2 linked regions of the Saccharomyces cerevisiae S288C genome follow. Each later gene encodes a partner of the first gene's protein in a complex. Each region holds a gene or a part of one and is shown in the gene's direction. Other genes may lie near its edges.

The links.
Region 2: the proteins of ILV2 (region 1) and ILV6 are in contact, whole or in part, in a crystal structure (PDB 6U9D), measured with the Saccharomyces cerevisiae proteins. Residues at the interface, in NP_013826.1 of Saccharomyces cerevisiae: Arg211 (codon at 2,376), Lys215 (codon at 2,388), Trp216 (codon at 2,391), Asn217 (codon at 2,394), Ile236 (codon at 2,451), Pro269 (codon at 2,550), Ser270 (codon at 2,553), Ala272 (codon at 2,559), Leu273 (codon at 2,562), Pro410 (codon at 2,973), Lys411 (codon at 2,976), Ile413 (codon at 2,982), Asn414 (codon at 2,985), Lys415 (codon at 2,988); in NP_009918.1 of Saccharomyces cerevisiae: Gln85 (codon at 1,868), Glu87 (codon at 1,874), Ser92 (codon at 1,889), Arg93 (codon at 1,892), Arg101 (codon at 1,916), Gln134 (codon at 2,015), Arg137 (codon at 2,024), Gln138 (codon at 2,027), Glu140 (codon at 2,033), Asp141 (codon at 2,036), Leu142 (codon at 2,039), Val143 (codon at 2,042), Pro144 (codon at 2,045), Val145 (codon at 2,048), Tyr146 (codon at 2,051), Ala147 (codon at 2,054).

What each region holds. Positions count from the first base shown.
Region 1 is NC_001145.3:482,339-486,647, forward strand, and holds ILV2 (acetolactate synthase catalytic subunit), read left to right. Parts: upstream 1-1,745; coding exon 1,746-3,809; downstream 3,810-4,309. Other genes in the region: SPG4 (Spg4p), read left to right, coding at 676-1,023; MYO5 (myosin 5), read left to right, coding at 4,249-4,309. UniProt on the Saccharomyces cerevisiae protein: Catalytic subunit of mitochondrial acetolactate synthase, which catalyzes the first of a series of common steps in the biosynthesis of the branched-chain amino acids.
Region 2 is NC_001135.5:90,317-107,163, reverse strand, and holds ILV6 (acetolactate synthase regulatory subunit), read left to right. Parts: upstream 1-1,615; coding exon 1,616-2,545; downstream 2,546-16,847. Other genes in the region: VMA9 (H(+)-transporting V0 sector ATPase subunit e), read right to left, coding at 1-53, 131-141; ubiquitin-binding ESCRT-I subunit protein STP22, read left to right, coding at 311-1,468; SGF29 (Sgf29p), read left to right, coding at 2,814-3,593; GBP2 (single-stranded telomeric DNA-binding/mRNA-binding protein), read left to right, coding at 3,806-5,089; YCL012C (uncharacterized protein), read left to right, coding at 5,376-5,463, 5,531-5,847; BUD3 (Bud3p), read right to left, coding at 5,973-10,883; DCC1 (Dcc1p), read left to right, coding at 11,401-12,543; NFS1 (cysteine desulfurase), read left to right, coding at 12,894-14,387; LEU2 (3-isopropylmalate dehydrogenase), read right to left, coding at 14,746-15,840. UniProt on the Saccharomyces cerevisiae protein: Regulatory subunit of mitochondrial acetolactate synthase, which catalyzes the first of a series of common steps in the biosynthesis of the branched-chain amino acids.

The sequences.
Region 1 (4,309 bases):
CAATCCTTTGTATTTTCTAGTTTAGCGCCAACTTTTGACAAAACCTAAACTTTAGATAATCATCATTCTTACAATTTTTATCTGGATGGCAATAATCTCCTATATAAAGCCCAGATAAACTGTAAAAAGAATCCATCACTATTTGAAAAAAAGTCATCTGGCACGTTTAATTATCAGAGCAGAAATGATGAAGGGTGTTAGCGCCGTCCACTGATGTGCCTGGTAGTCATGATTTACGTATAACTAACACATCATGAGGACGGCGGCGTCACCCCAACGCAAAAGAGTGACTTCCCTGCGCTTTGCCAAAACCCCATACATCGCCATCTGGCTCCTGGCAGGGCGGTTGATGGACATCAGCCGCCTCCCTTAATTGCTAAAGCCTCCACAAGGCACAATTAAGCAATATTTCGGGAAAGTACACCAGTCAGTTTGCGCTTTTATGACTGGGTTCTAAGGTACTAGATGTGAAGTAGTGGTGACAGAATCAGGGAGATAAGAGGGAGCAGGGTGGGGTAATGATGTGCGATAACAATCTTGCTTGGCTAATCACCCCCATATCTTGTAGTGAGTATATAAATAGGAGCCTCCCTTCCTATTGCAACTCCATAAAATTTTTTTTTGTAGCCACTTCTGTAACAAGATAAATAAAACCAACTAATCGAGATATCAAATATGGGTAGTTTTTGGGACGCATTCGCAGTATACGACAAGAAAAAGCACGCAGATCCAAGTGTATATGGAGGAAACCATAACAACACAGGAGACAGTAAAACGCAGGTTATGTTTTCGAAAGAGTACCGTCAACCTAGGACACATCAGCAAGAGAACTTGCAGAGCATGAGAAGATCTTCCATAGGATCACAGGACAGTTCCGATGTTGAGGACGTTAAGGAAGGGAGATTACCCGCAGAAGTAGAAATACCAAAGAATGTTGACATCTCTAACATGTCGCAAGGTGAGTTTTTAAGACTTTACGAAAGTTTGAGGAGGGGGGAACCCGACAATAAAGTAAATAGATAAATGGAGGAGATATTCATAGTGTCTTTTCTTGTGTTGTCTATTTATTCTAACATGATTATATATTTATTATGCTTTTCAGTGTTTCCATTAGTTTTATATGATAGCATCCTTATGTCTTTTTTCATACCTATATAAGCAATAAGAAGTTATGTAAACAGAACTTTGCCACTAATACCATAATTACTGTCTTTTAGTATCATTGTCTGTCAGTCGGCACGGATGAAAGGTGACAAACGCCTAGCCGCCGGAGCCTGCCGGTACCGGCTTGGCTTCAGTTGCTGATCTCGGCGCGGAAAAATCAGCGCCCCACGCCAAAAGGTTCGTATTTTTTCTTTTTTTTTCTAATCTTCCATCTATTCGGTAGCGATGATTCATTTCTCTGAAAAAAAAAAAAAAAAAAAAAAATGAAAAAGAATATTTTTTTGATGAACTTGTATTTCTCTTATCTGGTTGATATATATGCTATCATTTATTTTCTTATCAAGTTTCCAAATTTCTAATCCTTTCTCCACCATCCCTAATTAATAATTCAGATCTACGTCACACCGTAATTTGTATTGTTTTTTTCCTTCATTGTCTAAAACCGAAGAATTCATCAGCCACAGTTACTAGTTCATTTGAAGCGAAATTACACACATTTTCCCTGTTACAATAGAAAGTATTTTACAAAATCTAAACCCTTTGAGCTAAGAGGAGATAAATACAACAGAATCAATTTTCAAATGATCAGACAATCTACGCTAAAAAACTTCGCTATTAAGCGTTGCTTTCAACATATAGCATACCGCAACACACCTGCCATGAGATCAGTAGCTCTCGCGCAGCGCTTTTATAGTTCGTCTTCCCGTTATTACAGTGCGTCTCCATTACCAGCCTCTAAAAGGCCAGAGCCTGCTCCAAGTTTCAATGTTGATCCATTAGAACAGCCCGCTGAACCTTCAAAATTGGCTAAGAAACTACGCGCTGAGCCTGACATGGATACCTCTTTCGTCGGTTTAACTGGTGGTCAAATATTTAACGAAATGATGTCCAGACAAAACGTTGATACTGTATTTGGTTATCCAGGTGGTGCTATCCTACCTGTTTACGATGCCATTCATAACAGTGATAAATTCAACTTCGTTCTTCCAAAACACGAACAAGGTGCCGGTCACATGGCAGAAGGCTACGCCAGAGCTTCTGGTAAACCAGGTGTTGTCTTGGTTACTTCTGGGCCAGGTGCCACCAATGTCGTTACTCCAATGGCAGATGCCTTTGCAGACGGGATTCCAATGGTTGTCTTTACAGGGCAAGTCCCAACTAGTGCTATCGGTACTGATGCTTTCCAAGAGGCTGACGTCGTTGGTATTTCTAGATCTTGTACGAAATGGAATGTCATGGTCAAGTCCGTGGAAGAATTGCCATTGCGTATTAACGAGGCTTTTGAAATTGCCACGAGCGGTAGACCGGGACCAGTCTTGGTCGATTTACCAAAGGATGTTACAGCAGCTATCTTAAGAAATCCAATTCCAACAAAAACAACTCTTCCATCAAACGCACTAAACCAATTAACCAGTCGCGCACAAGATGAATTTGTCATGCAAAGTATCAATAAAGCAGCAGATTTGATCAACTTGGCAAAGAAACCTGTCTTATACGTCGGTGCTGGTATTTTAAACCATGCAGATGGTCCAAGATTACTAAAAGAATTAAGTGACCGTGCTCAAATACCTGTCACCACTACTTTACAAGGTTTAGGTTCATTCGACCAAGAAGATCCAAAATCATTGGATATGCTTGGTATGCACGGTTGTGCTACTGCCAACCTGGCAGTGCAAAATGCCGACTTGATAATTGCAGTTGGTGCTAGATTCGACGACCGTGTCACTGGTAATATTTCTAAATTCGCTCCAGAAGCTCGTCGTGCAGCTGCCGAGGGTAGAGGTGGTATTATTCATTTCGAGGTTAGTCCAAAAAACATAAACAAGGTTGTTCAAACTCAAATAGCAGTGGAAGGTGATGCTACGACCAATCTGGGCAAAATGATGTCAAAGATTTTCCCAGTTAAGGAGAGGTCTGAATGGTTTGCTCAAATAAATAAATGGAAGAAGGAATACCCATACGCTTATATGGAGGAGACTCCAGGATCTAAAATTAAACCACAGACGGTTATAAAGAAACTATCCAAGGTTGCCAACGACACAGGAAGACATGTCATTGTTACAACGGGTGTGGGGCAACATCAAATGTGGGCTGCTCAACACTGGACATGGAGAAATCCACATACTTTCATCACATCAGGTGGTTTAGGTACGATGGGTTACGGTCTCCCTGCCGCCATCGGTGCTCAAGTTGCAAAGCCAGAATCTTTGGTTATTGACATTGATGGTGACGCATCCTTTAACATGACTCTAACGGAATTGAGTTCTGCCGTTCAAGCTGGTACTCCAGTGAAGATTTTGATTTTGAACAATGAAGAGCAAGGTATGGTTACTCAATGGCAATCCCTGTTCTACGAACATCGTTATTCCCACACACATCAATTGAACCCTGATTTCATAAAACTAGCGGAGGCTATGGGTTTAAAAGGTTTAAGAGTCAAGAAGCAAGAGGAATTGGACGCTAAGTTGAAAGAATTCGTTTCTACCAAGGGCCCAGTTTTGCTTGAAGTGGAAGTTGATAAAAAAGTTCCTGTTTTGCCAATGGTGGCAGGTGGTAGCGGTCTAGACGAGTTCATAAATTTTGACCCAGAAGTTGAAAGACAACAGACTGAATTACGTCATAAGCGTACAGGCGGTAAGCACTGAATTTCAAAAACATTTATTTCAAAAGCATTTTCAGTAAAAAATGCAGACTTTATTATTATTTAATCGTGCTTCTTATATATGACATTCTACCAAATCGGTAGTCATGTATATTTTTTTCGTATATACTTTATATATTTTTTTCTAAAAAACTAATGACGGCTAAAATTAAGTCATAGATGAATAATAAGTTCAATTCAAGTGAGTTGGTAGTATTTGATAAATCTAAAGTGGATACGTAGCATATGTATTCAAATGGTGTGTTTTAACTCGTCGGACACGACTTCTTTCTCGTTTTGTCAATCATCAAAAATATTTCTCGAAAAGGGGCCGTCAAAAATTGCAAGCTTGGAAAATACAAACTGGACTATGTATTTAAAGGTTATAGTTTATAATAAAGCATAAGAACAGTGGCCAATACGAATTTAACCGCTTTATAGAAATGGCTATCTTAAAAAGAGGAGCTAGAAAAAAGGTACATCAGGAGCCAGCTAAACGCTCTG
Region 2 (16,847 bases), on another chromosome or scaffold:
AGAACAGCACGGACATGGCACTAACCACTATGAATACACCAACAACAGTATAGCTAAATTGGACGCGCAGAGAGTTAGTAGAAGAAGAAGGAAGAAAAGGGAAGCGGAGAGAAGAGATTATGACACATACAAACTACTCATTACTCTTTGTTCTTTATTATTCGTTGGACCTTTGTTTCTTAAAGTATAGATAAAAGGTCAAAAAATGTAGTAGTCTTTTTTCACAGAGCGAGAATAAAAAGTTACGGCAAAATTTTGTGGGCAGTTGGTATCTTAACGGCCAAGAAAAGAGAGAGAGTGAAGAGCAACGATGTCTGCAAACGGCAAGATCTCTGTTCCCGAGGCGGTGGTCAATTGGCTGTTCAAAGTCATTCAACCCATTTATAACGACGGAAGAACAACTTTCCACGATTCTTTAGCGCTGCTGGACAATTTTCACAGTTTAAGGCCAAGAACAAGGGTATTTACGCACTCTGACGGCACTCCACAACTACTGTTGTCCATATATGGTACCATTAGTACTGGTGAGGATGGTTCATCTCCTCACAGTATTCCTGTGATCATGTGGGTACCCAGTATGTACCCGGTAAAACCTCCCTTTATAAGTATAAACTTGGAAAATTTCGACATGAACACCATCAGTAGTTCCTTGCCCATTCAAGAATACATCGACTCCAATGGGTGGATTGCGCTGCCCATACTCCACTGCTGGGATCCTGCCGCGATGAACCTTATAATGGTCGTACAAGAATTAATGAGTCTCTTACACGAGCCGCCACAAGATCAGGCGCCCAGTCTACCCCCTAAGCCCAATACGCAGCTCCAGCAGGAGCAGAATACTCCCCCACTGCCCCCAAAGCCCAAGTCTCCACACCTAAAACCGCCATTGCCTCCACCTCCACCACCTCAACCGGCATCTAACGCACTCGACCTTATGGACATGGACAACACGGATATCTCCCCAACCAACCATCATGAAATGCTACAAAATCTACAAACCGTAGTCAATGAGTTATACAGAGAGGATGTGGACTATGTAGCGGACAAGATACTGACGAGACAGACCGTCATGCAAGAATCAATTGCCAGATTCCATGAAATAATCGCCATCGACAAGAACCATTTACGAGCCGTTGAGCAGGCTATTGAGCAGACCATGCACTCGCTAAACGCACAGATAGACGTCCTGACCGCAAATAGGGCCAAAGTCCAACAGTTTAGCTCAACTTCGCATGTGGATGACGAGGACGTGAACTCCATAGCAGTGGCCAAAACAGATGGACTCAATCAACTATACAACCTCGTTGCCCAGGACTACGCTCTCACGGACACCATTGAGTGCTTATCTAGGATGCTGCACCGTGGCACCATTCCCCTCGATACTTTTGTCAAGCAAGGTCGTGAATTAGCACGCCAGCAATTCCTTGTGCGATGGCACATCCAACGAATCACCTCACCGTTATCGTGACTCACTTTCTTTCGCATCGCCGAAGTGCCATAAAAAATATTTTTTTAACCTTTACCTAACAAGAACGGGGAATGGTATATATGGAAGTACATAGTTCGTATATACAGAATCTTTAGAACATCTGAGCTCACTAACCCAGTCTTTCTAATGCTGAGATCGTTATTGCAAAGCGGCCACCGCAGGGTGGTTGCTTCTTCATGTGCTACCATGGTGCGTTGCAGTTCCTCGTCGACCTCCGCGTTGGCGTACAAGCAGATGCACAGACACGCAACAAGACCTCCCTTGCCCACACTAGACACTCCTTCCTGGAATGCCAACAGTGCCGTTTCATCCATCATTTACGAAACACCAGCGCCTTCTCGTCAACCAAGAAAACAGCATGTCTTGAACTGTTTGGTGCAAAACGAACCCGGTGTCTTGTCCAGAGTCTCGGGTACGTTAGCTGCCAGAGGCTTTAACATCGATTCGTTGGTCGTGTGCAACACCGAGGTCAAAGACCTAAGTAGAATGACCATTGTTTTGCAAGGGCAAGATGGCGTAGTCGAACAAGCACGCAGACAAATCGAAGACTTGGTCCCCGTCTACGCCGTCCTAGACTATACCAATTCTGAGATCATCAAAAGAGAGCTAGTGATGGCCAGAATCTCTCTATTGGGTACTGAATACTTCGAAGACCTACTATTGCACCACCACACTTCCACCAATGCTGGCGCCGCTGACTCCCAAGAATTGGTCGCCGAAATCAGAGAAAAGCAATTCCACCCTGCCAACTTGCCCGCCAGTGAGGTATTAAGGTTGAAGCACGAGCATTTGAACGATATCACCAACTTGACCAACAACTTTGGAGGTCGTGTCGTCGACATCAGCGAAACAAGCTGTATTGTGGAGTTGTCTGCAAAACCCACACGTATCTCTGCCTTCTTGAAGTTGGTCGAGCCATTCGGTGTCCTAGAGTGTGCAAGAAGCGGTATGATGGCATTGCCAAGAACTCCTTTGAAGACAAGCACCGAGGAAGCTGCCGACGAAGACGAAAAGATCAGCGAAATCGTCGACATTTCCCAACTACCACCTGGTTAGGTTAGTCTCTCGGCCTTGCGATCGCCCTCGGGACTCTCCTCTATACATCTATATAACGTATCTATAACCATGAGCCTATTTACTCATAAGTTGCTATGATTGTACGTTTGTACGAGGTGACGCGTTACTAAACTATTTTTTTCTTTTGGTTTTCTGCTTTCCTCTTCGATTTTGCCAGATACGAAAAAGGTTAAAGACACAATACCTTGGTGGCTTCTCTAAGTGGGGGGAGTTTTTCACAGCAAAACACACGGTCACCTTTCTTATTATGGACGGATATTGGGATGTTGTAGTGTCGTCCTTGCAAGACATATACAATGCCAACGAGGTCATTCCCTTTGATGATGAGCTGCAAACAAAAAAACTAAATTTCCTTAATATGTCAAAGGATCAGCTGCAATTGCATCTCAACACTTTCCAAGAACACATGGAAAACGTCAACAGAGTGCACCGAATCCTTGACAATGTACGTTCCAATTTGTCGTTGATGTTGAATCAGTCACGAGAGGAAAAGAGTGAGGAAAATACTGAAGATGCAGAAGAAGGAGAAGGGACACGCATGGCATTGTCGCAGGGCAAGAAAGCTGTGGGGAAAGTTGGCAGATCGTACTGGACCAGCGAATACAACCCAAATGCACCTATTTTGGTGGGCTCAGAGGTTGCCTATAAGCCCAGAAGGGGCAGTGCCGACGGCGAATGGATACAGTGTGAAGTACTCAAAGTCGTAGCAGATGGTACACGATTTGAAGTGAGAGATCCTGAACCTGATGAATTGGGCAACTCAGGCAAGGTGTATAAATGTAATCGGAAAGAACTACTGTTGATCCCGCCAGGCTTTCCCACTAAGAACTACCCGCCAGGTACTAAGGTTCTGGCAAGATATCCTGAAACGACCACTTTTTATCCTGCAATTGTCATCGGAACCAAGAGGGACGGCACTTGCAGGCTTCGATTTGATGGTGAAGAGGAAGTGGACAAAGAGACGGAAGTGACTCGCCGTCTAGTGCTGCCTTCGCCAACGGCTTTGGCAAACCTAGCAAGGAAATAGCAATGGTGGTTAACATTTACTACATATCATAAGATCTTCTCATGGCATTTTGTCATTATTTTGGTATCGTCGGAAGTGATGTATTCACTTGAAGGTGAAAAAAATTGAAAAAAAATGAAAGCTTGGATGAAATCAATTATATTGAGGATTTCCCATTAGAAATAAGCTATGGGCGAAAAGGAAACAAACATCAGCTGGATTTTTTCGCCAAGATGGAGAGAGAGCTAGGGATGTATGGAAATGATAGGAGTAGATCAAGATCACCTGTACGTCGTCGTTTGAGCGACGACAGAGACAGGTACGATGATTATAACGATAGTAGCAGTAATAATGGTAATGGCAGTCGTCGTCAGAGACGCGACCGAGGCTCCCGTTTCAATGATCGGTACGATCAGAGTTATGGTGGCAGCCGCTACCACGATGATAGGAACTGGCCCCCTCGCCGAGGAGGCCGTGGCAGAGGAGGAAGCAGATCATTCAGAGGGGGACGCGGTGGCGGTAGGGGTCGTACTTTAGGTCCAATTGTTGAAAGAGACTTAGAAAGGCAATTTGACGCGACCAAGAGAAATTTTGAAAATAGTATCTTCGTGAGAAACTTGACTTTTGATTGTACCCCTGAAGACCTTAAGGAATTGTTTGGTACAGTGGGCGAAGTTGTGGAGGCTGACATTATCACATCAAAGGGCCATCACCGTGGTATGGGGACTGTGGAATTTACCAAAAACGAATCTGTCCAAGATGCCATATCGAAGTTTGATGGTGCCCTCTTTATGGACCGGAAACTAATGGTAAGACAGGATAATCCTCCTCCTGAAGCTGCCAAGGAATTTTCTAAGAAAGCTACTAGGGAAGAAATAGATAATGGGTTTGAAGTGTTCATCATCAATTTACCGTACTCTATGAATTGGCAATCCTTAAAAGATATGTTTAAAGAATGTGGTCATGTCTTGCGTGCCGATGTAGAATTGGATTTCAACGGATTTTCAAGAGGATTCGGTTCTGTCATTTATCCTACTGAGGATGAAATGATTAGAGCTATCGATACATTCAACGGCATGGAAGTAGAAGGTAGAGTTTTGGAAGTTAGAGAAGGGCGTTTCAACAAGAGAAAGAACAATGATCGTTATAATCAAAGGCGTGAGGACCTTGAAGATACCAGAGGTACTGAACCAGGTCTTGCGCAGGATGCCGCTGTCCACATTGATGAAACTGCAGCAAAATTTACTGAAGGTGTCAATCCAGGAGGGGATAGAAACTGTTTCATTTATTGTAGTAATTTACCATTCTCAACAGCAAGAAGCGATTTATTCGACTTGTTTGGGCCTATCGGCAAAATCAATAACGCGGAATTGAAACCACAGGAAAATGGTCAACCAACTGGTGTTGCTGTTGTAGAATATGAAAATTTAGTAGATGCAGATTTTTGTATTCAAAAATTAAATAATTATAATTATGGTGGTTGTAGTTTACAGATCTCTTATGCTAGACGTGATTAATTCCTAAGCACCAACCGAACCATGACCTGTGTACTTTATGATAACGTATAAATAATAAGGAAGCGGGCGGGTTATAAATAACTTTAATAGTTATATTTATCATTTTGACCAAAAAGAATAACCTTATTTAATCCCTGTAAAAGAGCACCACTTCCAGCGATGAGATGCGAAAAGCGAAGAAAAAAAAAAAAAAAAAAAGGGTATTCTAAACTGAATATATAAAAACTGCCACCAATTAAGAGAAGAAAAGCTACACAATTAATTTCCAAAAATTGCAAATACGAGTATGAAGAGTTTGTTCTATCTCAAATTGCTCCTCTGGGTTGTGCTATTGTCTTTATGCCTTCTTATGGCACACCGGAAAACCAAAGTTGGTATGTATATTTAAGCATTTGAAAATGCAAAGTGCAAACCGTATCTAAATACTAACAGCTGTAATAGCCGACAAATTTCGTGCACTGCGTTCAAGAATACAATTACGTTTTAATAGACATATACGTTTAAATGATTCCTTTGCTGATGACCTAGAAAACGGTCTCCATTCCAGGAATTTCGATATTATCTCGGAGAATAGCAACGACGTAAGAGGTGGTTTGGATGATGTCTCCAAGAATGAGATTAAACAAATTATGGAAAACGATAATGTAGATTTCGATAAGGCTAGACTATTATATATGGAAAGAAAGTTCGGCCAAAATGGTATTGCCCCCGATGGAACCCCTATTGATCCAAAAGCATTCACCTTTGATAGTAGGTAAAGGTATCTAATATATTCAGTTTTACTTAAGTGGGAGGTTTTTCCCCCTTTTTCTTATTTGTCCATATTTTATGTAAATGTATACATTGCATTAAATTAAAAAGAAAAAAAAAATCAATAAAACACTCAATAAAATTTCAGTTTCTCTGGGCCACCAACAGCGCAGTTCTGTTTCCCATCTTCATCTTCATCGTCACTCAACGCAACAAAATCTTTTAAGTACGCGTACGAAGCATCTTTAGTTAACAGCATATTTGTCATATTACCGATAGATCCCTCTCCAGTATATTTGTATTTTCTACTGTCGTTGTTTTTCAAAGGAACAGTATTACGCTCTGGCGTCAATGCTTTAGTTCTCCTACTTAGATCAGCAAAGTCAATTTTGCTAGGGGAAACCCAAATGGGCTCGTCTTTTTGTTTCTTTCGAAGGAACCCCTCTTTCTCATGCTTTGTGCTACTCTGAGGCAAAACATAGATTAATGGTCCACTAGGAGACTCTTGAACTTTCTGAGCATTTCCTAACACGGTTTTATTCGAACTTAAGTCGGATGATATTTTCATATTGTCAGTACTCATGGAGGTATTTCCAAATGCTATATTAAATGAACTGAATTCTAAATCATCTAACAGTTCGGTAGGTTTTTGATCAATATTACCGCTACTCAACTTATCGTCTGTGCTCTTGTTATTTGAAGTTGTAACGTTAATACTTCGCGGAGTATTTGGAAGTTCTTCCACCGGAAATTCAGCAGTGGGTTCCTCTGCTGGAGTATAGAATCTGTCATCCGGAATTTCATCTTGGGATGGAAATTTTAATTCCATCAGCCTTTTGTCAGGTTCATCATTGTTGTGAGTATCATAAGTGAACGAAATATCAGATGGAGAGCCATTTTCATATTTTCTAGTGTCTTCAAAAGTCCTTCCGATAATTCTCACAGGCGATGTTCTAATAACTTTGAATGCTGGGGGCTTCTCGATTTTTGGAATAGAATTGGATGGATTATTATTACCGACATCTTCATTACCGGTTTTGCTGCCCTTCAATTCTTCCTTAAGTTCTTCTTCAATTTCGAAGAATTTGTCATCACTTTTTTCAATACCCGAGTCATCTAGATGCGCCTTAGGCAAATAAGTTGGGATAGGTTGCTGCATTTCATACTCAATCACTTCAGAAATTTGAGTCATTCTTTCCGCCTTGGCATCATCCTGACTTTTATTTATAATTGCCGCATCTTCCTCAGTATTGACTTTTAGTCCCTCACTTAAGGAGACTTGACTAGCCAAGCGTTTCCAGTTATAATGGGCATCATGCTTATCTAAAACCACCCTCATTCCTTGAAAGAGCTCAATATAGGATGGTGACCTTTGAAAGTTAATTTTTGAAGCTGGCGGCGCTAACCTAGGAATAGTGGGGAATATTTCTTTCCGTTCAGTTATTCCTTCAACAAAATTTTTTGGTTTAGTTATTTCTTTCGCTGTTTCTTTATCACTGTAATCATCTCCTAATTTTATGTCCTTTGCGTCCTTCCCTTCATTGTTGGTATCTTTTAATTCATTAGAATTTTCTGTCAGCACTTTACTCGCTTGTGGAGAGAGTTTCTGCGTCAATGTAGATGCATCTTCATTAGTTTTGAGAGATATGTTAGTGTTTTCATTTGATACGCCCTTTTCTTGGGGCACCTTTCCCTCTGGAAACAAATTACTCGAGCTGTTAATGTTCTCCTGTTTATTACGGTAATGCTTAGGAATAAAATCACCAAAGAGGTCATCGTTAAAAACTCTACTTTCATTCTGTCTGTGTTCATCGTCATCACTTAAGTTTTCAACATCAGCTGCACGTAAAAATTCGCTTTGGGTATCAATACGTTGGTCCCCAGCCGATGTTGTAGAAACCCTATTTGCTGTAGTCACCTCAGCAAGGTCTGGCAGCTCTTTATTTCCATGAACTGATGACGAATTCGTCGCCTTCCCAATTATTTGATCATCTGTTTCTGCATCAAGTTTTTCAGGATAAGAAGACGCAGATACCTCTACATCTGCAAAATTGGAAATGTTATCCTGCTTTGTGGATTGATCCGCTTTTGGTTCGACATTTTTTTCGTTACTGGTATTTTCTGTCACAGGCTGAGAGGGATTGTAGGAGACATATTTTGTATCCCTTACTACTGAAGATATTCTGGTATTTTCTTGAGGATGTGCGCCATTTCCAACATCAGGTGGTTTTCCGATCAAGTCATCAGATTTGAATTCAACTGCTCGAAGAGAAGATTTAGCAGTTTGTGATTCTTTTGTGGAAAAAGAAGTACTTTTCTTTTTAATTTTGGGAGATGAAACGACTGCCCTTTTAGGGGAGGATTTCTTTTCTGAGGTCATTGGCTTCTTCACTGGAGACTTAGGATGCCTCTGCGATATTTTTTTAGGCACTCTTTGAACTGGTGAAGGCTTGCTCTTGCTTTTACTTCCAAAAACATTTTTTAACACGCCAAAAAACCCTTTGCCTTTGTTAGGCTTCTTCTTTTCTATGTGCTCTGCTTTAGAGGCGTTTGTCTTGGTCTTCTTTTGAATTTCTCTTGGTTTTTTTGAAGACTTTTTCGTAGGTTTCACTGGTAAAATTTCCTTAGTTTCCTTGGTGACATTACTATTATCGCCTGATGGACTGTCCTTCAAGTCGCTTGTATAGCTTCTAAATGTTGTTATGGTACCGTATGATCTTTTCTTCTCGTGAGTAGCATCGAAATCGGATGCACCGGAAAGTTTGCTATTAACAGCCCTATGTTCGTCTGTTGAAGGGTGCTTGACCTCTTCCAATTGATGTTCTAAGTTTTTTATCAAATTCTCATTTACACAGAGTAAATCTTTGGCCATCGATGAGTTTAAGGAAGAAAAGCATATCGGTATTTCAATGGCCAATTGATTAATTATGGTGAAAACAATGTTATCGGATGTAACTTCTATATGTTTATCGTCATGTTTGGTTAAGACGTCTAAGATTACGATGTTATCTCTACCATCGTTACTGCAAAATCTTGCAAAAAAAGCCAAATGAAGGTTGTTGACCTCCAATATCTCCTTGGATGGTGGTATGTTCAGGAATAAGGCAAATTTTGATTTTATTTTTTCGGAATCATAAGCGCAAAGCTCGTGAGCAGTAGAATATAATGTAAAATGGCTTCTACTAGCTTTAAATAAATGAAATGCAGTGTCTTTTTCCAAAATTCTAGCCTTCGTAATCAAGTCAGCAACTGACGAAGAAGAGATAAATGCAGAGGATAATTTACATACCATTGAGAAAGAATCTTTTCCCTTCAATCGATCAAAACGTAGAGTGCTTTTGTCTAATATAGAAACTAGAACCTCATCTATATAGCAATGACGCTCCACTTTCAACTTAGGGATCTTGGAGGGCAACGGAACTTCGTTGATCAATGAGTTCATTAAAATATCTGAGATTAAGGGCCTGTTTGATCCATCTGAAGTGTAGTAACTTTCTGCCTCCAGTATATTGATGAAAACCACATAATCACTGAATATGACTAATAAATTTCTCTTATTTTCATCATTCAAATCCACTACATCATACACACCGACTACCCTTCTCTTCAGCCATTTGTATTGCAGTTCTACGGGCCAGCATTTGGCTAATTCTGTAAGGATTTTTCCCGATGGAGTAAATACTCTGGTACTATAAGAATGAAGTGGGGAATCTAATTTTCCAAACGAATCAATGACATCAATGATATTGTTGTAGCATTTTTTTGCCATTTCTTGATTTTTCGGTCTCCATTTTTTCGACTTCCACAATCTCTCTATAATTAACTTTAGCTTCAGTAGTTTTTCCTGAGGTCCCTTAATTATACTCTCGATTTTCATTTCCGTGTAGACCTCTCTTTCTGGAATTACATTGCTGAAATGCCTAATAAACAATTTAATATCTTTGCTGAAGTTCTTTGTGGCCGCCTCGTGTCTTGTATATGCTTTGTAGAAATAAGGAATAGTAATGCTGCATGCCTTCAGTACTTCGAGGGAACCGTAAGGGATTGCTGTCTTTAGCGAGTCTAGAAAAATACAATTGATTCTTGTGACTTCATCTATTGTAGGTGGGAAGAGTCGATTTAATTTGGTTGTGGATAACCCATTAATTTCTTCATTGAGTACTCTGACTCTCAAGGCGATCAGGAATTTTTGCAAAAATTCTACCAAATTGAAAGTAAAATTTGTTTGTAGTTGTAATAACTCGTTGCAAATGGCCTTGACAAGATCATCATCCGATTCTGTGGGTAATTCGTCCTCTGGCGCCTTATAACCATATTCTGTCTGTTCCGGTGAGTATTCTGTGACTGGGTTAAAAAGTTGTTCAAGTTGTTCACCCAGATGGAATACCAACCTATTATTTAGTTCGATGGTGGATTCATTGTTTTCATAAATAACATCTAACAGGGTAGAGCTGACAAATCTATTTTGCAGAAGTCCTGATGTAAAGAAGCGCTTCCCCAGATCTTCTGGAGGAACTGCTGTTATCAACTGGCAACTACTAGCCAAATCTCCAGCATAAGGGGGGTCATAGTCGCAATTTTCCGATTTATTGGACAATATTTGTGATAAGTCTGATGGTGAAAGTAATGGATAGCGCTGTAACAGAATGACAGCAATGCATTTCTTAACATTGCTTTCCTGATCACTTGGACTCAAATTCTCAATGGCCGGATAGTATTGCGAGTTGGAAGATATATCGACGGATTCGAAGCATGATGTTCCTAATTTGTCGAATATTATAGCGTTCAACTTATTGCTGTTGGGGGACTTGTACACGCAGACAAAGAACTTCCCCCATATCAAGTCATCTGACCCGTGATAGAATACTGATTGAGTGAACACATTATCCGTCCAGTCTGAAAGTGATTTATCATCATCAAACAATGAATGACCATTTAGCGGTGTGGTCTCGACAACAGATTTGGATAGTTTGATGTTAAATAAGGTTTCATCGTTCTCTTTGTCTTTCTTTTCAGAGTAAAGAGACGACAGGTCTTTCTCCATTGGTGAGGTGTAAATATACTCTTTTAGCAACCAGATAACAGCCCGAACACGTAATGAGTAGCAGGTAGCAGCAGTAGAATGCGAGTACAGACAAACTAGTGTTGTTTTTACTATCCGCAGTGAGAGAAATCTTCCTCATTGAAGATCAAAGCCTTTGTTTACCATTGTTTTTATTTACCTTTTTAGAATTGTTCGAACAAAACCCTAGGTCTTGGCAACTGGCAATCGCTCAACATGACCTAATTTATAGCTTAGGGTTCTTTTTTGTCAATTCTATGCGTATGACAAAGAGCACCACGATGGTGATCGAAATCTCTAGGAGTAGCATACCACAGCGATATTATTTAGTAGTAGGCGGTTTATTATCTTTGTCCCTTTATACTGTTGTGTTTCTTGCTTATTGCTTCAGTAGGCAGCGTATAGTATAACCAGAAAAAAGTGAAAAATAAACTAAAAAAGCACTATGAGATGAACGGTAAAAATCCACCAGAGATTTGCTCACTAATAATCCTGTACCATGTCCATCAACCTACATTCCGCACCCGAGTATGATCCATCTTATAAGCTGATCCAGTTGACACCAGAGTTACTGGATATAATACAGGATCCGGTTCAAAATCACCAGTTAAGGTTTAAGTCATTGGACAAAGACAAGTCTGAAGTTGTACTGTGTTCGCACGACAAGACTTGGGTGCTGAAGCAGCGCAAACATTCAAACACAGTTCTACTAATGAGAGAATTTGTTCCTGAACAACCTATTACTTTCGACGAAACGCTCTTGTTTGGACTGTCCAAGCCGTACATGGACGTCGTGGGATTCGCCAAGACTGAATCAGAATTTGAGACCAGAGAGACACATGGCGAATTGAACTTGAATTCAGTACCAATATACAACGGAGAACTGGATTTCTCCGACAAAATCATGAAGAGGTCATCTACAAAGGTTATCGGGACCCTGGAAGAACTACTTGAGAACTCACCATGTTCTGCGCTAGAAGGTATATCAAAATGGCATAAGATTGGTGGATCTGTGAAAGACGGTGTGTTGTGTATTCTTTCACAAGACTTCCTTTTCAAAGCACTGCATGTACTACTGATGAGCGCAATGGCAGAATCACTCGATCTACAGCATCTGAATGTTGAGGATACACATCACGCTGTGGGGAAGGACATTGAGGACGAGTTCAATCCATACACAAGAGAAATCATTGAAACAGTGCTGAATAAATTTGCTGTTCAAGAGCAAGAGGCTGAAAACAATACGTGGCGCTTGAGAATACCGTTTATAGCTCAGTGGTACGGGATTCAAGCGCTAAGGAAATATGTTTCTGGAATAAGCATGCCAATTGATGAGTTCCTCATCAAGTGGAAGTCCCTTTTCCCACCTTTCTTCCCATGTGACATTGACATTGACATGCTGCGAGGCTATCATTTCAAGCCTACCGATAAGACTGTCCAGTATATAGCGAAAAGCACACTACCAATGGACCCCAAAGAACGGTTTAAAGTCCTGTTTAGGCTACAGTCACAGTGGGACTTGGAGGATATCAAGCCTCTAATTGAAGAACTAAATTCAAGAGGTATGAAAATAGACAGTTTCATCATGAAGTATGCCCGCCGTAAAAGACTGGGCAAAAAGACCGTGGTCACGAGCAGGTAGCACACAAAACTGCCTTCGATGGGCAATGCGAATATATAGCGGAACCACTAAAGTAATAGTGGATGACGTGAATAGCAACAAATATCTATCATAGTAGCTTTATATATTTATATATATTACAATACTATTATGCACCCTATTACCCGCAATAGTTGATAGTGACCTACCAATTTTAGATACGGTCGCTGACAAATAGTAAGGCCATCGCCCAGGGATATATGATGACTATCTAAGTAACTCACTCAGAGTAAAGACCGACAGAGTTCATTAGTGTGTTATATTTTCTATTTCAGATACATCATTTTCATTAAAATATATCGCATACACGAAGGAACTGCTACAACTGGAAGATGTTGAAATCAACTGCTACAAGATCGATAACAAGATTATCTCAAGTTTACAACGTTCCAGCGGCCACATATAGGGCTTGTTTGGTAAGCAGGAGATTCTATTCCCCTCCTGCAGCAGGCGTGAAGTTAGACGACAACTTCTCTCTGGAAACGCATACCGATATTCAGGCTGCTGCAAAGGCACAGGCTAGTGCCCGTGCGAGTGCATCCGGTACCACCCCAGATGCTGTAGTAGCTTCTGGTAGCACTGCAATGAGCCATGCTTATCAAGAAAACACAGGTTTTGGTACTCGTCCCATATATCTTGACATGCAAGCCACTACACCAACAGACCCTAGGGTTTTGGATACGATGTTGAAGTTTTATACGGGACTTTATGGTAATCCTCATTCCAACACTCACTCTTACGGTTGGGAAACAAATACTGCTGTGGAAAATGCTAGAGCTCACGTAGCAAAGATGATCAATGCCGACCCCAAGGAAATAATATTCACTTCGGGAGCGACCGAATCTAATAATATGGTTCTTAAGGGTGTCCCAAGATTTTATAAGAAGACTAAGAAACACATCATCACCACTAGAACGGAACACAAGTGTGTCTTGGAAGCCGCACGGGCCATGATGAAGGAGGGATTTGAAGTCACTTTCCTAAATGTGGACGATCAAGGTCTTATCGATTTGAAGGAATTGGAAGATGCCATTAGACCAGATACCTGTCTCGTCTCTGTGATGGCTGTCAATAATGAAATCGGTGTCATTCAACCTATTAAAGAAATTGGTGCAATTTGTAGAAAGAATAAGATCTACTTTCATACTGACGCCGCACAAGCCTATGGTAAGATTCACATTGATGTCAATGAAATGAACATTGATTTACTATCAATTTCTTCTCACAAGATTTACGGTCCAAAGGGAATAGGTGCCATCTATGTAAGAAGGAGACCAAGAGTTAGATTAGAACCTTTACTATCCGGTGGTGGCCAAGAGAGAGGATTGAGATCTGGTACTTTGGCCCCCCCATTGGTAGCGGGATTTGGTGAAGCTGCGAGATTGATGAAGAAAGAATTTGACAACGACCAAGCTCACATCAAAAGACTATCCGATAAATTAGTCAAAGGTCTATTATCCGCTGAACATACCACGTTGAACGGATCTCCAGATCATCGTTATCCAGGGTGTGTTAACGTTTCTTTCGCCTACGTGGAAGGAGAATCTTTATTGATGGCACTAAGGGATATCGCATTATCCTCGGGTTCAGCCTGTACATCTGCTTCCCTAGAACCTTCTTATGTTTTACATGCGCTGGGTAAGGATGATGCATTAGCCCATTCTTCCATCAGATTTGGTATTGGTAGATTTAGTACTGAAGAGGAGGTCGACTACGTCGTTAAGGCCGTTTCTGACAGAGTAAAATTCTTGAGGGAACTTTCACCATTATGGGAAATGGTTCAAGAAGGTATTGACTTAAACTCCATCAAATGGTCAGGTCATTGAGTGTTTTTTATTTGTTGTATTTTTTTTTTTTTAGAGAAAATCCTCCAATATATAAATTAGGAATCATAGTTTCATGATTTTCTGTTACACCTAACTTTTTGTGTGGTGCCCTCCTCCTTGTCAATATTAATGTTAAAGTGCAATTCTTTTTCCTTATCACGTTGAGCCATTAGTATCAATTTGCTTACCTGTATTCCTTTACATCCTCCTTTTTCTCCTTCTTGATAAATGTATGTAGATTGCGTATATAGTTTCGTCTACCCTATGAACATATTCCATTTTGTAATTTCGTGTCGTTTCTATTATGAATTTCATTTATAAAGTTTATGTACAAATATCATAAAAAAAGAGAATCTTTTTAAGCAAGGATTTTCTTAACTTCTTCGGCGACAGCATCACCGACTTCGGTGGTACTGTTGGAACCACCTAAATCACCAGTTCTGATACCTGCATCCAAAACCTTTTTAACTGCATCTTCAATGGCCTTACCTTCTTCAGGCAAGTTCAATGACAATTTCAACATCATTGCAGCAGACAAGATAGTGGCGATAGGGTTGACCTTATTCTTTGGCAAATCTGGAGCAGAACCGTGGCATGGTTCGTACAAACCAAATGCGGTGTTCTTGTCTGGCAAAGAGGCCAAGGACGCAGATGGCAACAAACCCAAGGAACCTGGGATAACGGAGGCTTCATCGGAGATGATATCACCAAACATGTTGCTGGTGATTATAATACCATTTAGGTGGGTTGGGTTCTTAACTAGGATCATGGCGGCAGAATCAATCAATTGATGTTGAACCTTCAATGTAGGGAATTCGTTCTTGATGGTTTCCTCCACAGTTTTTCTCCATAATCTTGAAGAGGCCAAAACATTAGCTTTATCCAAGGACCAAATAGGCAATGGTGGCTCATGTTGTAGGGCCATGAAAGCGGCCATTCTTGTGATTCTTTGCACTTCTGGAACGGTGTATTGTTCACTATCCCAAGCGACACCATCACCATCGTCTTCCTTTCTCTTACCAAAGTAAATACCTCCCACTAATTCTCTGACAACAACGAAGTCAGTACCTTTAGCAAATTGTGGCTTGATTGGAGATAAGTCTAAAAGAGAGTCGGATGCAAAGTTACATGGTCTTAAGTTGGCGTACAATTGAAGTTCTTTACGGATTTTTAGTAAACCTTGTTCAGGTCTAACACTACCGGTACCCCATTTAGGACCACCCACAGCACCTAACAAAACGGCATCAGCCTTCTTGGAGGCTTCCAGCGCCTCATCTGGAAGTGGAACACCTGTAGCATCGATAGCAGCACCACCAATTAAATGATTTTCGAAATCGAACTTGACATTGGAACGAACATCAGAAATAGCTTTAAGAACCTTAATGGCTTCGGCTGTGATTTCTTGACCAACGTGGTCACCTGGCAAAACGACGATCTTCTTAGGGGCAGACATTAGAATGGTATATCCTTGAAATATATATATATATATTGCTGAAATGTAAAAGGTAAGAAAAGTTAGAAAGTAAGACGATTGCTAACCACCTATTGGAAAAAACAATAGGTCCTTAAATAATATTGTCAACTTCAAGTATTGTGATGCAAGCATTTAGTCATGAACGCTTCTCTATTCTATATGAAAAGCCGGTTCCGGCGCTCTCACCTTTCCTTTTTCTCCCAATTTTTCAGTTGAAAAAGGTATATGCGTCAGGCGACCTCTGAAATTAACAAAAAATTTCCAGTCATCGAATTTGATTCTGTGCGATAGCGCCCCTGTGTGTTCTCGTTATGTTGAGGAAAAAAATAATGGTTGCTAAGAGATTCGAACTCTTGCATCTTACGATACCTGAGTATTCCCACAGTTAACTGCGGTCAAGATATTTCTTGAATCAGGCGCCTTAGACCGCTCGGCCAAACAACCAATTACTTGTTGAGAAATAGAGTATAATTATCCTATAAATATAACGTTTTTGAACACACATGAACAAGGAAGTACAGGACAATTGATTTTGAAGAGAATGTGGATTTTGATGTAATTGTTGGGATTCCATTTTTAATAAGGCAATAATATTAGGTATGTAGATATACTAGAAGTTCTCCTCGAGGATTTAGGAATCCATAAAAGGGAATCTGCAATTCTACACAATTCTATAAATATTATTATCATCATTTTATATGTTAATATTCATTGATCCTATTACATTATCAATCCTTGCGTTTCAGCTTCCACTAATTTAGATGACTATTTCTCATCATTTGCGTCATCTTCTAACACCGTATATGATAATATACTAGTAACGTAAATACTAGTTAGTAGATGATAGTTGATTTTTATTCCAACATACCACCCATAATGTAATAGATCTAATGAATCCATTTGTTAGTTAATAGTTTAAATGTTTTTATCGGAAGAGGTTTTGTCATCACATCAGCAATGTTCTTCTTGGTCTCGATGTAGTATAC